2 linked regions of the Lonchura striata genome follow. The protein of the gene in region 1 purifies or fractionates together with the protein of each later gene. This does not show direct contact. Links are inferred from orthologs where the notes say so. Each region holds a gene or a part of one and is shown on either strand. Other genes may lie near its edges.

The links. Proteins that work in one complex are often made in the same cells at the same time.
Region 2: the proteins of SMAD1 (region 1) and SKI purify together in Homo sapiens (affinity purification with western blotting, with the first as the bait; 3 studies listed by BioGRID). This does not show direct contact. The link is inferred for Lonchura striata from reciprocal best matches to the Homo sapiens genes SMAD1 and SKI.

What each region holds. Positions count from the first base shown.
Region 1 is NC_134606.1:62,070,542-62,078,285, forward strand, and holds the start of SMAD1 (mothers against decapentaplegic homolog 1), read left to right. Parts: upstream 1-4,739; 5' UTR 4,740-4,889; intron 4,890-7,744. UniProt on the Homo sapiens protein: Transcriptional modulator that plays a role in various cellular processes, including embryonic development, cell differentiation, and tissue homeostasis.
Region 2 is NC_134626.1:2,809,833-2,817,671, forward strand, and holds the start of SKI (ski oncogene), read left to right. Parts: upstream 1-4,837; 5' UTR 4,838-5,620; exon of another isoform or gene 5,621-5,735; 5' UTR 5,736-5,745; coding exon 5,746-6,657; intron 6,658-7,839. UniProt on the Homo sapiens protein: May play a role in terminal differentiation of skeletal muscle cells but not in the determination of cells to the myogenic lineage. Functions as a repressor of TGF-beta signaling.

The sequences.
Region 1 (7,744 bases):
ACTGCAACTGAGGGACCAAGAAATAACACCTCAGGATTGCCAAACCACCTTTGATTTCTTTTCTCATAGAGTTATTATCTTTAATTTTGTCTCTGCCACCTGCCTGAATAAATTTTAATATATCATTCTCTGGTGGTTTTCGCAACAAGATGTAACTGGGACAAGGACTGTAAGAACTTGAAAACAGTAATTAAAGTGGGAGATAAGATTAATCTTAGCGGTGTCTTCCAAGAAACCAGCAACAGAGCTAGGTTATTCCAGTTATGTAAATCTTTTTAAGCTGAATGACTGAAGAGAAATTTAATTTTCAAAGAACCAATAATGTTTGATTGCACCGAGTCCATTATCCCTTGATGAGGTGATAGCCAGGAGAAAGTGAAACTACTTTCAAAAGCTTCTATGTTGATTCAGGCAAGATCCAAAGAGAGAATTCCATTCTCTATAAAGTACAGTACTGGTGCAATGCAGTGAACAGGAATGCTGTCCTTCGTGGATGCACGTGATGAGCTGTCAGAACAGAGGGCAATCTCCCTTCTTTACCAGAAAAGTAACATTGCTGGAGGAAAGTCCTTGCATCAGAGTCTGATGAGAAAACAACCAATAATGGAGATAAGGGAGTGCCCTGCTTAATACTTTATTTCAACCCAAACCTTTTGGAATTGTAACTTTTAATAAGGATCTTGGCAGCTTTAGCTGGGCACATTAATCTTAAGAAAGTAATGAATTTAGGTCTGATTCCCATCATCCCAATGGGTGGAAAAGATGAATGACTACTCAATCTGATCAAAAACCTTTCTGGTATCTGCAGATAGATTTATGGCAGAAGCCTTATTTAATATAACAGAGGTATACACATAATAACCTTGTAAAATTATCAAGTTCCACATTTATTCTATATGAATCCCACTTAATCATAGTGGGCCAGTTTAGGAAGAACTTCTGAGAGTGAAATGAATTCTTTGTTCTTTTGCCTATGACAGTGAGTCACAATACTAAGGCAGGTCCCAAGCAGGTATTTGACTCTCTATAGAGTCAAACTCATGCAGGGCTCATTCTAGAAAATGGCCAGACTCCCAGAGCAAGACTACAGAGAGCCCTCAAGTGTTGCCTTCAAGGCCTTTTACAACTTAGTTCCTTATTTCCTGGGCTTGTACTGTGGCTATACAGGACCTTGTATCCAGATGGACTTGGAAAACCATATGCAGTGCTGCACAGTTATGATGACCTCCTAAAAATGCTCCTTACCTTCTCTCACATGCTGTCTTCTGCCTGAGGCACTGTTCCCAAATAGATCTATGCAGTTGCTAAGCCGTCTGCATATCCTATGTTAATAATGCTGAGGTAGGAGTCTTGTTTAATACCTCGCCTACTCAAAGACAAAGCAGAGAAGCCATGAAGGATAGAGGGTGATACATTTTGTCACCCAGCCCAAGAAAGAAGGAAATAATGAAATCCAGTATCCTTAGGAAGCTATTATTCTTCTTGAGAGAGCTGCCTCTTCTCTCTGAAAATATTGTTGGTATTTTCCCACACTAGGCAACAAAAAGTGTAATGGCTGAAAAGAAAATTACTCCAGTGATTTTAATGTAAATAATAAGTTGTCTGTTTGATATAATTTAATTATTTAATTATCCATGAAACTCCTAATTTCTGGCAGAAACCTAGTGTACATGAAGGTAAAGCAAAGTTACTGACTTTGGAGCTAAACTGTCTCCAGAAGACAGTCACTATCCCTGGAACTTCTTGATTAAGCCAGATGAAGCCTGGCTGAAGTTAACAAGAAATACCAAATCATAACCTACATACAAAATTGGATTTTGGAGGAAGATCAAAAGCCAATAGTTGTTGTAGCCACAGTATTAGTAGTAGTAGTAGTATTTCTTAAATGCTTGTTACATAATAGAATAGTCTAAAATATGCAGCATAATGAATGTCTTTTAGAACTCAGCCTTCTGATAATCAGTTTCCGAGACACAGATTTTAAAGCTGATTGGGCAGGTGCTTGGTGAGATGCTAGAAAGTGTCTGTGAGATTAAAGTTTCCTTTGAGAATCATAATAGACATTTATCTGTGTAAGTGCCCCTACTCCATTAAAATTCAGGTCCACAGGCCTTATGACTGATGGTGCCATCAGATTGTGCACCTAATCTGATGAAAAGACAGGCAGTTTACAGACGGAATGGTTCTTCTCTTTCTTCATTGCCCCAGCCTCACGGCCTATTTTCCTTGCACTAGTCTGAATGATCATGTAGCTGCAGAGCAAAAAGAGAAAAAACCTATTCTCTGTTGCCTCTTGAGATAGCACAGTTATTCAGCCCAGTGCAGAGGAGCATCAAGGTTGATACCCAGGTGTACATACCTCTCTGATTTCCTTTTTTCAGTTTTCTAATGTTATTCAGAAAAGGCAGGAAGAAGTTAATGATTCAGGGTATTAAATTAGCCAGTGGATTTAGAAGTGGTGAGTGTGCAGTAAGACACTGCTGATGCTGCTCACCCACAGAGTAATGGGTTTGGACAGTCAGCTCCACCTGCACATCCTAAAGCAGGGGGCAGACTTGAAGTTTTATTCTGGCTAGTGTGCCAGAACAGCCCAGGCAGGGAAGCCTTGAGGAAGATCTGACCAGGGCACACTGTTTCTGCCTTTTCCCCTGGTCTTCTCACACCACTGCTCTGTCTGAAGCCAGGCTACCCAGCCCCCTCCAGGACAACCACTCTGGTTATTAAACATCAGAGAAAGACTCTCCTAGGCTGTTTCATAGCCTTTTTTAAGGAAAGCAGCATATTAATGTGATCCTCCCCAAGCCTCAATGTAAGTAGAAAATAATTTAATTCTCTCATGCCAAAGCCAACCAACCGGTCAACCCTAACAACAACAACAAAAGCAGTAAAAATGTGGTTCTAACAAGACACCTGACAAACTGCAGTGCTTCCCTAATTATCTCCTTGTCATATCTGTTTAGTGTGAATCATGAATTGATACTTCAGCAACCAGGATCCAGTGGATGGAGCTTGTGCCCACGAAGTCAGCCTGCAGAGCACATTACAGCAGAGCTCAAGCACATGAAAGGCCTTTTCCATGTTTTTCTCTGTGTGAGACTGGATCACTGAGACTGCCAAGCTCTTGGGCAGGTACTACTGCTGCATCCACTACTCTTGATCCAGGACACTACCACAGTACAAAAACCAGATATCAGTTTCATGTTTCTCCTGTACTTTACTCGCAAATGCCTTCATTACACTGCCAAACTTTAAAGACCATTCAGTTTGTCTTGAGATAAACTCCACCAGTTGTATTTGCAGTCCAGTGCTGCACTATATCTGTGATTGCACATAGAAAGAAGTTTACTTGCTAAGTGTAGTTGTGTACAGTGCAAGCACAAAATACACATTAAAGCTGATTACCAAAGTTCACTCATCTTGAATCATTCAAGGTTCAAAATTTAAGCAGTAAAAGAGTAATTTTATTCCAGGCTTTCCCCATCAATATTATGGCATCATCCTGTGTGGGAGTTCCTCTACTATTATTGTAGCATAATCCCTAACAAAATTGTACAATTCACCTGTTTGCAATATATGTGGTATTTATGTGGCATATGTGGCAATGAAATGGATGAATTTTAGATTATGAAGTTAGAAAGAAGCGCTGATACCTTCACAGGCATAGACCTGGGTATTTTTTACTGCTGCTGTTGTGCTCCTTCTGTGATCTTGGGCAAGCCATTCCACTTCTGTGTCTTCAGACTCACAATGCACTTGGGTGGGCAGGACAACTGTTCATCTGGTAAAACTCTCAGGGCCTTAAGTCCTCCAGGCCTCAGTGTTCCTGGACTTTAAAATTAGTTTAAAGTCATACCAGAACTGTCTATACATGTCAAAATTTACTGGCCTAAGTCTAGGGGTACAATTATGTGTATAGGCATATCAGAATATTTTGCCACGTAGGAACATCTTGCACTTGTTGCTTGAAATCTCCTTCCAGGAACGATGACTGGGTAAAAGCCAAAGAATCAGTTTCAGTTCAATCTTGCTTGCGCAACACTTACCTGACTACTGTAAAGATCCTGTGAGCGGGCAGGAGAGGCTTGCCATTCCACATGTGAGCTCCAAACTTTCAGTCAGTTCCACTTTGGAGCCGACACTTGCAGATCCAAATGGACTTCAAGTCCCAGGGACAGCGACTTGAGGCTTCATTACTGTGGCTCTGACTGCACAAGAAGCCTCCAGCACTGTAATAGCTTTACTCGCATGAATGAGGACTAAGTGCAGCAATACCTACGGGCAGGAGAATGTCCACGTGTAAAACACCTGGGGTTAGAGAGTGCTCTGTCATTGGGAGGTATTACAGCAATTATTTCAGTATTAAGACTAGACCAAGTCAAGCCTGAATCACCTGTAGCAAGCGGCAGGACATAATCCTGTTCCGTCAGGAATGGACTTTAACTCCAAGTCCGACAGCATCCTCCGCTGTCCCCGAAGCCCCGCTGCCGGAGCTCCCCGGCCGCTCCGGCGGGGCAGAAACGCCTCCTAAGCCCCAGTGACGGTGTCGGAGGGGGCTCACAGCCGGGGCGAGGGTCGGGCTAGGGCACACAGCGGCCGTGCCGTGCCGTGCCGTGCGGGGCCGTGCCGTGCCGTGCCGCGGCCGCTCTCCGGCGGCGGGCGCAGCGCTCCCAGCGGGACCCGGCGGCGCGGCGGCGGGGGCGGGAATTTGGGGAGGATCCCTGGCCGGGCCGGTGCGTGTGTGTATGCGAGTGTGTGTGTGAGTGTGCCGGTGAGCGGCGCGGGGCGGCTCCGGCCGCCTGACGCCGGCCGGGCCACATCCATCCCGATCCCGATCCCGATTCCGGCGCGGAGGAGCTGCCTGCTGGCCGCCCGTCACCGCCCGCCAGCCGGTAACAACTTCGCGTTCCCCCGCACCTCTCCCCGCTCACTGTCCCCGAGGCCGGGCGGCTGTGCCCGCGCATCCTCCCCTCCTCCTCCTCCTCCTCCGCGGTCCTTGCGGTGGTGTTCCCGGCGGCGGGGCCGTGCGGCGCGGCGGGAGCGGCTCCGGGCAGCGGTGCTCCCGCTCGCCTCCCGGCATGATGGCGGCCCGGCGGGGACCGCTCCCGGCTCCGAGTTGGTGGGTAGGTGCCGCGCCGGGCCCGGCGGGCGGCAGAGCCCTTCCCTGCCGGGAAGCGCCGTCCTGCGGCTCCTCCCCGGCCCCGGCCCCGGCCCCATCGCGGGGACGCGGCGGAGCCGGGGCAGGGGCCGCCTTTGTGTGTGCGGGAGCAGCCCTTCGCCTCCCGCCGCGGCCCGGCCGCGTCCCTCTCCCTCTAATTTATCTTCTTTCTTCTTTTTTCTCCCTTCCTTTCTTTCCGCAGCCCCTTCCCCTCCTGCTTTTTTTTCCCTCCCGTCCCCTTCTTTCTTCTTTAATGACAAATCTGCGCTTAGAGGTCAAGGAAAGTTCACTTTTTTTTTTTCTTTTCCCTGTTAGAGGGTTTGGATGCTTGAGATTTTCCCCCTCTTCAGTATAGTTGCTTCATATACTTGTACAGCCAAATAATCTTATCCTGAATATAGATCTTTAAAGCTTATTAAAATTTACTGGCATGGAAATATTCAGTCATGCGTTCAAAATGATCTGGGCCAAATACTGACTTTTTTTTTTTTTTTTTTTAATATAAACTGAAGTCAGAGAGAGTTCTGACCGAGGCAGGGTTGCTGTGATTGCTCTTTTGTTAGAAGATCAATCTGAAGAAGGTACACAGTCCGACCTTACAGTTTGCTTTTACAGTATCTGGATAACAACAGCTTATTCTGAAAATTAATCATTTTTTTGGTGTACTTTAGGATAACATGATGCTCACTGCGTGTCTACAGTTTTATTTGGGGAAGTATTTTCAACAGAGCTTAATGAAAACTGTATTGTTAGAGCCAGATGGGGAGGAGTAAAAGTAAATGTGTATTTCAGATACAGGCAAATGGAAAAGATCATTGCCTGAAACATGTCAGTGTTTAATGGATGTCAGTGTTCAAAGATATTGCACCTTAAAACTAACATGCTTCTTAGGAAAGAGCGGTCATAGCTGATAGTTTGAATCTGTTTTGCACACAGAGGGGAAGTCAGAAAAAAAAACTTGTTTAAAATTTTTTCTTCCAATAATTATATGTATTTTCAAGCAGCATTCAGGAGTAAGATTAAAAACAGTAGCTTACCCAGCCCACAGAGAACACTTTTCTTTGCAGGTGTGTGTCTGTAATTCTTCATGTGGCTGACTGTATGCACCTTGTCATGTCAAACAATAGGAGCAAATCATGTGAGGGAACATAAGTTTGGCTTATTTTTTTCTTTTACTTGTGAGTAATGATTTGGCTGAATTATGGGACGTGAGTTTTTAGTTGCAGCTGATTAGTATTTAATTTCCCCCTTAAACCAGAGAGCAGTGCTATGAAGGTTTTTCAAGGTTCCCATTGGATTTTAGTGCAGGGTTTGGGTGCTTACTTCTCTGTTATGACTGAAAGAACATCAGTATGAAAATGAGAGTGATCTGGCCCTTTTGGGAGTCCTTGCTGTGGTCTTAGGGCTGAAGTCTTGCAATTTACTTCAGACTGTAAGTAGGCACTTGAGAGAAATTTCCCTTGATTTGGGTGATCCAGAAGCCTTCCACAGCTATGAGAAATGATCAGTTCAAGGCTGATCAGGTTACCCTAAGGGTAGGGATTTGTCCTTGCATCTGTTTTGACCCCATTACCATTGGGTATGTAATCAAATACATTTTTTTCCTATTCTGTTCTGTTCAACTTGCTTTTTTGTGTACCCTTGAAGATGTGATGATCTGATACATTTGAGACAAGTGACTGAGTAAACAGATGGAGATCTTTCTGTTTTCATATAAATAGTAACTATCAAATCAACTATTTGAAACTGATGAGTTTGGTGTTTGTTTTTCCTCTGTAGTTTGAAAACAGAATAGGTGAACATGAAGAAAAACAATACAAAGGTTAATAAAAGTGCTACTTGTGTTTCTGAGTACTAGAAAATTATTCAGATTAAACTGTTAATTTCTTTGCTTGCTATAAAGATTTAAATTTTAAAAATGAAGGGGTTATGACTGTTTTGGTTATTTTTCTTTAAATTAAAGCATGAATGCACTGGATATTACATATTGCCAGTATTCTGCTCTGTGCAGCCCAAGCTGTGTGCGTAAAATATCATTTGAGTAGTCTTACAGGCCTAATGGAGGCATCATCTCAGCTTTATAAATAATGTAAGTTGTGTATAATGTGGAGTCCCCAGAGACTGCAGAGAAAGCATCATTACCAGCCTTTTCAACCTGCTGGAGATCTTAAATTGATTTACAGCACTGAACTGGTGCAAAATGATACATCAGGATGACACAGGGTCAACCTGTAAAAGTCTATGATGTGAGCCTGTTAGTTCAGTCATCATAATTAAACCATATTATGAGGGCAGCAAAGCAAGTGTCGGTGACATGTCCCATTGTGCTTGAGATACAGCTGGTTTGAGAATCAAATAAAGAGAGCACCGTGTGTATTATTTAAATTATGTAAAGAGTAGTTGAAATTAAAGTTTGTGCCCTGTGAAGAGTAAAAGCTGAACCAATTTAGGTTGACTCTCAACCTCTTCCTTGCAGTCATTAGGAGCTGAAATAGATGAAGGAATATGCAGCTACGGGATGTATGAGTGGGGAAGTGGCTGTGAATGAATCTCTGATATTTATATATCCTTTTTTTAAGGCTCAGCTAG
Region 2 (7,839 bases), on another chromosome or scaffold:
CCAGGGCTTTGGAACTGGAGCAAGACTGACTGGGGGACAGATTAATCTGATTTTTAGATGCGGCATAGAGAGGCAGAGACTTGAGAAGCCACTGCCACCTTAATGCCACATGACGGCTCCCTTGGCTCCCCCTTCTCCTGCCCTGCTGCTGTTTGGTTCTGCAGAGTCTGTGGGATGTAAAAACGAGGAAGTTTTGCTGTCTTGTTACTGCAGAAGTTGGAGCTTGGTTTCTGTCCCGTCATGGCTTTTGGTTTGGAAGCTGCCACTCCAATTGCTCACTGTCTGAGTATTGCAGATACAGAAACTGAGGCACAGAGAGACTGAGCAACTTGCCCAAGGCAACAGGAAATCTGTGGGAGATCTGGGAATAGACCCCAGATGTCCGGAGTTTTCTGTCTTAACCACAAGACCATCCTTCCTGTCTCTTTGGTAGTCCCCTCTGCTTCAGGAATTCCATTTCCAAATTCCACCCATAAACAATCTTTTGCACGATCCAGTGACTTACTTGCATTAAAAAGTCGTTTGGAAGAGAAAACGGCACCTCTCTTAAAATGAACTGCAGCTACTGCTTTCTGTCCTTTCTTTCTAGGGGATGAAGGAGAGGGAGTGAAAAAAAAAGAAAAGCAACCCAGCTTCCAGAGCTGAGAAGCATTTCCATTGCTATCCAAACTTCCTGCAGGCATTAGTTTGGTTCTTTAAAAGAATCAGGAACTCCAGATGTGATGTTTGAGTTTATCTGGCCATTTGTATTTTAGTGGATTATAAAAAGGCCTGAAATTGCACTAAATGCATCTTGGGAGTGATCCTGCTGCTGGTCCCCATTGTATCCGAGTGTCTCTGGTGACAGTCTGGTCAACTGCCACAGCCCTGGGGGAATTCACTGTGTGTCTGGTGCTTCTCCCCTGTCACACAGTCAGAGCTTCTCTAAGAGGAGACTGAATGCTGGGAGGGGTTTTCATTTCTACCAAAGCACACCCTTCAGTTTGGAAATGGTGGAATGGGTGGATGTCCCTCATATTATCGAAAGAAGACTATAATTTAAAAATTATTCTTAATTAAAACCTTTTAGATTATCCTGTTACCCAGTGGGGAATATTTCTAGCCCTGCTTTCTCTTAATGTGGTAACTTGTTTAGCATCAGGAATCAACAAGGGCTGTATGGCCTAGATTGTTAAATCCCATCTTTAGACCTTGGTATTGTGGTAATATCTAAAAATCCCACTCATGGATCACCAAATCCTCATGTGATGGATTCTATAAACAGAAACTTCAAGGGTCCTTCTTGCTTCCAGTGGCTTCCTATTAAAACAATTTGGTGGAGATTCTCCAAGGGTCTTCTCTGAGCACATGAAGACACAGCTGCTGGCCTGGATCAACGTGTTTGGTTCCTGCCTCTTCTGAAGCCATTTAGCACTTTGAGGCTTGATGTCCAAGTTGGGTACGTGAGAGTGGGTTCCTCTCTGAGGAAATGCTGACTTAGGGGCAAGGTCAAAGCTCTTACACAACTCTTACACACCTTTCCCCTTTATTCTGAACAAGATTTCAGAATAGAAAAGTAGAAATAAAACACAAGAGCTTGGCGTGTGTCCTGCCCCATTACAATGAGTCTGAGTAAATCACAGCGGGTTTGTTTTCCAATTGCTCTTTTAAGCACTGTTTGGATATTTGTCTGTTTGCTCCTCCTCTTTTGTCCTGATGTGTTTTTTCTGCTGTTCCACTGCCATGAACTCTTCCAGAGGAGACTGTCCAAAATTCAATGTCTGTGTCTCTCAGTCACACTCTATGGATGAGCAGGGCTTAAAGTCTTTGTTGAATTTCAAACACGATTAACAGTTGTGCTGGTGTGTGAAAGTGCTCCTTAGCCCTTTTTGGCACACAGTTGACAGAGCTCTGAGATAACAGTGGAAACCTTTTCAGCTTGTTCCTTAATCGTGATGCTAAGATTGAAATGTTTGTTTGACTTCTGGGTGTGCAGTCCATAGAAAATGGGAGAATACACAGGATTTTTGCTTTGAAATTTGTTATTAATAAAAAGCAAAAGCATCTCACTCCTGACCTGAATAATAAATCCATAATGGAGTTTGCAGTGCTGCTGGGCAGTGGGTGCCCATGCCTAGTCATTTGGTGTCTGTGCTGTGGTCAGTTGGTGTCCATGCCCTGGGCATTGGATGTCCGTGCCATGGGCACTTGGTGTCCATGCCCTGGGTGTCTGTGCCATGGTTACTGTGTGCCCATGCTGTGGACAGTGAAGATCCATGCAATGGGGAGTGGGGATCTGTGCCATGGTCAGTGGTGTCCTTGCTATGGTCCGTGGTGAGTGATGTCCATGCCATGGTCAATGACTGTGCAATGGGCAGTGTATGTCCGTGCTATGGCCAGTGTGTGACCATGCTAGGGGCAGTGGATATGTCAGTGCCCCAAGCAGTAGGTGTCCATGCCATGGTCAATGACTGTGCCATGGTCAGTGACTGTCCGTGCCCTGGTCAGTGGTCAGTGACTGTCCATGCCCTGGTCAGTGACTGTCTGTGCCATGTGCTGTGTGTGTCCATGCCCTGGTCAGTGATTGTCTGTGCCATGTGCTTTGTATGTCCATGTCCTGGTCAGTGGTCTGTGACTGTCCTTGCCCTGCTCAGTGGTCAGTGACTGTCCATACCCTGCTCAGTGGTCAGTGGTGTCCGTGCCCTGATCAGTGGTCAGTGACTGTCCGTGCCCTGCTCAGTGGTCAGTGACTGTCCGTGCCCTGCTCAGTGGTCAGTGACTGTCCATACCCTGCTCAGTGGTCAGTGACTGTCCGTGCCCTGCTCAGTGGTCAGTGGTGCCCGTGCCCTGCTCAGTGGTCAGTGACTGTCCATACCCTGCTCAGTGGTCAGTGACTGTCCGTGCCCTGCTCAGTGGTCAGTGGTGCCCGTGCCCTGCTCAGTGGTCAGTGACTGTCCACACCCTGCTCAGTGGTCAGTTGGTGCCCGTGCCCTGCTCAGTGGTCAGTGGTGTCCGTGCCCTGCTCAGTGGTCAGTGGTGCCTGTGCTCTGCTCAGTGGTCAGTGGTGTCCGTGCCCTGCTCAGTGGTCAGTGACTGTCCGTGCCCTGCTCAGTGGTCAGTGGTGTCCGTGCCCTGCTCAGTGGTCAGTGGTGCCTGTGCTCTGCTCAGTGGTCAGTGACTGTCCATGCCCTGCTCAGTGGTCAGTGGTGCCCGTGCCCTGCTCAGTGGTCAGTGACTGTCCGTGCCCTGCTCAGTGGTCAGTGACTGTCCGTGCCCTGTCAGTGGTCAGTTGGTGCCCGTGCCCTGTCAGTGGTCAGTGACTGTCCATGCCCTGCTCAGTGGTCAGTGACTGTCCATACCCTGCTCAGTGGTCAGTGACTGTCCATACCCTGCTCAGTGGTCAGTGACTGTCCGTGCCCTGCTCAGTGGTCAGTGGTGTCCGTGCCCTGCTCAGTGGTCAGTGACTGTCCGTGCCCTGCTCAGTGGTCAGTGGTGTCCGTGCCCTGCTCAGTGGTCAGTGGTGCCTGTGCTCTGCTCAGTGGTCAGTGGTGCCCGTGCCCTGCTCAGTGGTCAGTGACTGTCCGTGCCCTGCTCAGTGGTCAGTGACTGTCCGTGCCCTGTCAGTGGTCAGTTGGTGCCCGTGCCCTGTCAGTGGTCAGTGACTGTCCGTGCCCTGCTCAGTGGTCAGTGGTGTCCGTGCCCTGCTCAGTGGTCAGTGGTGTCCGTGCCCTGCTCAGTGGTCAGTGGTGTCCGTGCCGCGGCCGCGGTTGCGCGGGGCGGTCGCGGTGATCTCTCATCGGTCGGTAGAGGGCGCCCGTCCCCGCTGTGCGGGGGGCGCTCGGTGCCCCGGACACTCCGGACACGCCGGACACACCGGACACACCGGACAGCCCCGGACACACCGGACAGCCCCGGACACACCGGACAGCCCCGGCCCCGCGGGTGGGAGCCCAGGAGCCGACCCGCCTGTGTGCCACCAGCGTGGTCTTAGTGCTGCCTCCGCCTTCCTGCTCCAGCGGGGGCTCGGACAGCCCCAGCCCCTTCCCACCCGCGCTGCGGTTGCGCCTCTCACGCCTCTTCCACGCGTTGAGCGTCGCCTGTGGGTGGAAGGAGCGTGTGACGTGTGCCGGGAGCGGGGAACACATGTGTGTCGGAGCAAGGGAGCATACGTGTGCCGGGACAGGGACGCACACGTGTGTCTCTCGCCTGTAGCGCTCAGTGGGTTGGGGGCTCCGGTGGCGCCCCGAGGATGCGCTCTGGTCCCGCGCGGTTGTCGCCCATCAGTTGCGCTCTCACGCCTGAGATTGCTGTCGGCGCGGGGCGTGTGCCCGCAGTTGACGCCGGGCAGGGCGCCGTGAGTGCCCGTGTGAGCCCGACCAGAGCCGCTCCCGCGCCTGTTCCGTTTCACGGCTGCCAGAAACGCAGCGGCGAGAGGGGAAAAGCCCTCGCCCTACCGCCCCTCCTCGGCGGCGCGGCGGTCCGTGAACCCAGCAGTTTATCCTCCGCCCGCTCCCTCCCTCCCTCGCCGGCGCTGCCGCCGGGGCCGCGCGCCCGCCCGCCCGTGCAGCGGCTCGGCCCGGTTCGGCCGAGCTCGGCACGGCTCGGCTCGGCTCGGCGCGGCACATCCCAGCTCGGCTCGGCTCGGCTCAGCACGGCACATCCCAGCTCGGTTCGGCTCGGCCGGGCTTCGATCAGCTCGGTTGTGCTCGGCGCGGCCGGGCTCGCTTGGAGTGGCTCGGCTTGGCCCGGCTCGGCTCGGCTCGGCTGATCCCGGCACATCCCGGCCGGTCTGGGCGCAGCGCGAAGCGGGAGGCGGGCGCTGTTCCTGGAAGAGCCCGGCCCGGGGAGTTGGTCACATTCTTGGCCGGGATTCAATGACTGAGGCAGACACCAACAAACACAGGGGGGAGGCGGAGGGCGGGCGGCTGAGCCCGCCTGCATTAGCTCAGCTCTCAGGCACTCTCAGTCACTGCTGGAAAGAGGAGCTGGGAGGATGTGCGCGCTCTCACCGCGGCTCCCCACGGCACAACGAGAGCACCGGCAGAAATAAGGGCAGGAAGGCGAACCGAGAGCCGAGGAGCCCTCCCAGGCCGAGCGGACGGACCACGAGGGGCAGCGGAGCCGCTCCTCGCCCGTGCGGAGCCGCCGCGCCGCTTCGGCAGTGCCGGAGATCTGGGCCTTTTCTCCTGCCTTGTTCCTTCCACAGACCGAGCGTGCTGCCTCCTCCTGCTTTTTACTTTCCTCCCCCGCGCCTTCCCTCGGTGGATATGGACAGAAGGGGGATCACTGCAGAGAAGCAGCAGCCGCCAGAACATATTTGAGCCCGGGTGCTCGGAGCGTGGCACAGACTTTTTGTGTTTCTGTGGGTGGTGTGTGTGTGTGTGTGTGTGTGAGTGAGTGTGTGTTGGAGGTGTGGGAGGAGGGATTGGTTTGCCTGGGGGTTGGCTGAGGGGGTGAGTGCTCGGATGAAGACCTCTTTTTGCCGTGATTCTGTGCTCCATCGGGGCAGCTTGGAGACTTGGAGGGTTTGAAATTGTAACGTGAAGCAAGAGAAGAGAAAGAAGAGAGAGACACGCATACAAAAGGATTTATTTCCTCTCCGTTAGTGGATTGCTGAGTGAGAAGGAGGAAAAACACAAGGGTGGGTTGTTTTATTTTGTTAATATTTTTTCCTAAAAAAAAAAAAAAATCCCTTAAGTGGATTTGCATCAGGGTGGAAGATAACTGGGGATTTTTGCTATTTGTTTTGGGAATAGAAACTAAAAAATGGAGACTGTAAGTAGAAGCAGCTTCCAGCCTCATCCAGGACTGCAGAAGACCTTGGAACAGTTTCATCTGAGCTCTATGAGCTCCCTGGGTGGCCCTGCTGCTTTCTCAGCACGATGGGCACAGGAGATGTACAAGAAAGACAATGGCAAAGACCCAGCGGAACCTGTACTGCATCTGCCCCCGATCCAGCCTCCTCCGGTCATGCCTGGTCCCTTCTTCATGCCCTCGGACAGATCCACGGAGAGGTGCGAGACCATCCTGGAAGGGGAAACCATCTCCTGCTTCGTGGTGGGCGGAGAGAAGCGGCTTTGCTTGCCCCAGATCCTGAACTCGGTGCTCAGGGACTTCTCCCTGCAGCAGATTAATTCGGTGTGTGATGAGCTACATATTTACTGCTCCAGATGCACTGCTGACCAGCTGGAAATCCTCAAAGTCATGGGCATCCTGCCCTTCTCCGCTCCTTCCTGCGGGCTCATCACGAAAACTGATGCTGAGAGGCTTTGTAACGCCTTGCTTTATGGTGGCACCTATCCTCCCCACTGCAAGAAGGAATTCTCTAGCACAATTGAGCTGGAGCTCACGGAGAAGAGCTTCAAGGTGTATCATGAGTGCTTTGGGAAGTGCAAGGGACTCCTGGTGCCAGAGCTTTACAGTAACCCCAGCGCAGCCTGCATCCAGTGCTTGGACTGCAGGCTCATGTACCCACCTCACAAATTTGTGGTCCATTCTCACAAATCGCTGGAAAACAGGACTTGCCACTGGGGCTTTGACTCTGCAAACTGGAGATCCTATATCCTCCTCAGCCAGGATTATACTGGGAAAGAGGAGAAAGCTAGACTGGGCCAGCTCTTAGATGAAATGAAAGAAAAATTTGACTATAACAACAAATACAAGAGGAAAGCCCCTCGGGTAAGTGGTGCCTGTGATTTTAAAGGGGGCGGGGGGAATTTCTGTAACATTCATCGATATACCCAAATTGTTACCAGCTGCTTTTCCTTGGAGTCATTTAGCAATTTTAATCGTGTTCTCCATTCTCTCCGCGTGTGTGTCACTGTGGAGGAGCAGTGCTCGAGATGGCACCTTTATTTCTCTGGTTGTTTTCTGACCACGGTGCTTGGAGTTTGTTTAAATTATGTGTGTGTGGTTGTATGTTTTACTATGTGTGGACCTTGATCTTTGAAGCCCATCACACTGCCCCAGACTTTATCTGGCATTGCGTGATTTCGGGTCTTTAAGGGCTTCTTCACTCAGGGGTCAAGGCAAGGAAGAAGCCAGAAAAAGGGAGCAGGTACTGATGCTCCAGACACAAGTCCATGCACTTTTCTGGTCGATTGAGTGTCGCCAGGGATGGAGGTGCGGGCTGAATGCTCTAAATGCTCGAATGGAAATAAAATGTGCCTGTTAAGAAAAAAAAATAAATTGTGCCGGTAGTGCAGGTTAGTGGTTTATAGATGAAGTGTTCAGAACGTGAATGGAGAAGTCCCTGCTTTTAGAGTATCCCTATGGAGCTTAGATTTGCCCAGCAGACAGGCTTTTGTATATTGGATTATGTATACATCCAGCAAATGCCTGTGTCTAGGGCCAGCTGCAGCAGCTCCTGAAGGTGTTCCATGCCGTGCTGTGCTGAGCCAGCCAGCCAAATCGCTTTTTTTTTTAGATGCCACTTGTTTTTATTTCAGTCTGAGCTGCCTTTAGATCCCAGAATCCCTGGTGTGTGGGTGGGAGGCTGCCTTGGCATCTGGCACCGGTCCTGCTCCATGGGCAGCAGTGCCACAAGGCCCTGGGGACTCGCAGACACCGGGATGTCTGGCTGGCTGGGGATGAGCAATTCTGCTTCCTGCTCCTTCCCCCCGGTGCGAGGGGAAAACAAACTCCTGCCTCCCCAGTTCTCCCCTGCAGGTTTGTTGGTTGGGCTCTGCCTCACTGTCAGAGATTTCCAAACTTTGGGGTTTTGTGTCTGGAGTGGAAGGGCAATACACAAGCCTGGAAAAGAAAAAGTGTTTAAAACCCACTATGAAAATTCTGAATTAATTTACCAAATACTTGTTTAAAGGGGCAGACACACACTCTGACTAAGATAGAGCTTTTATT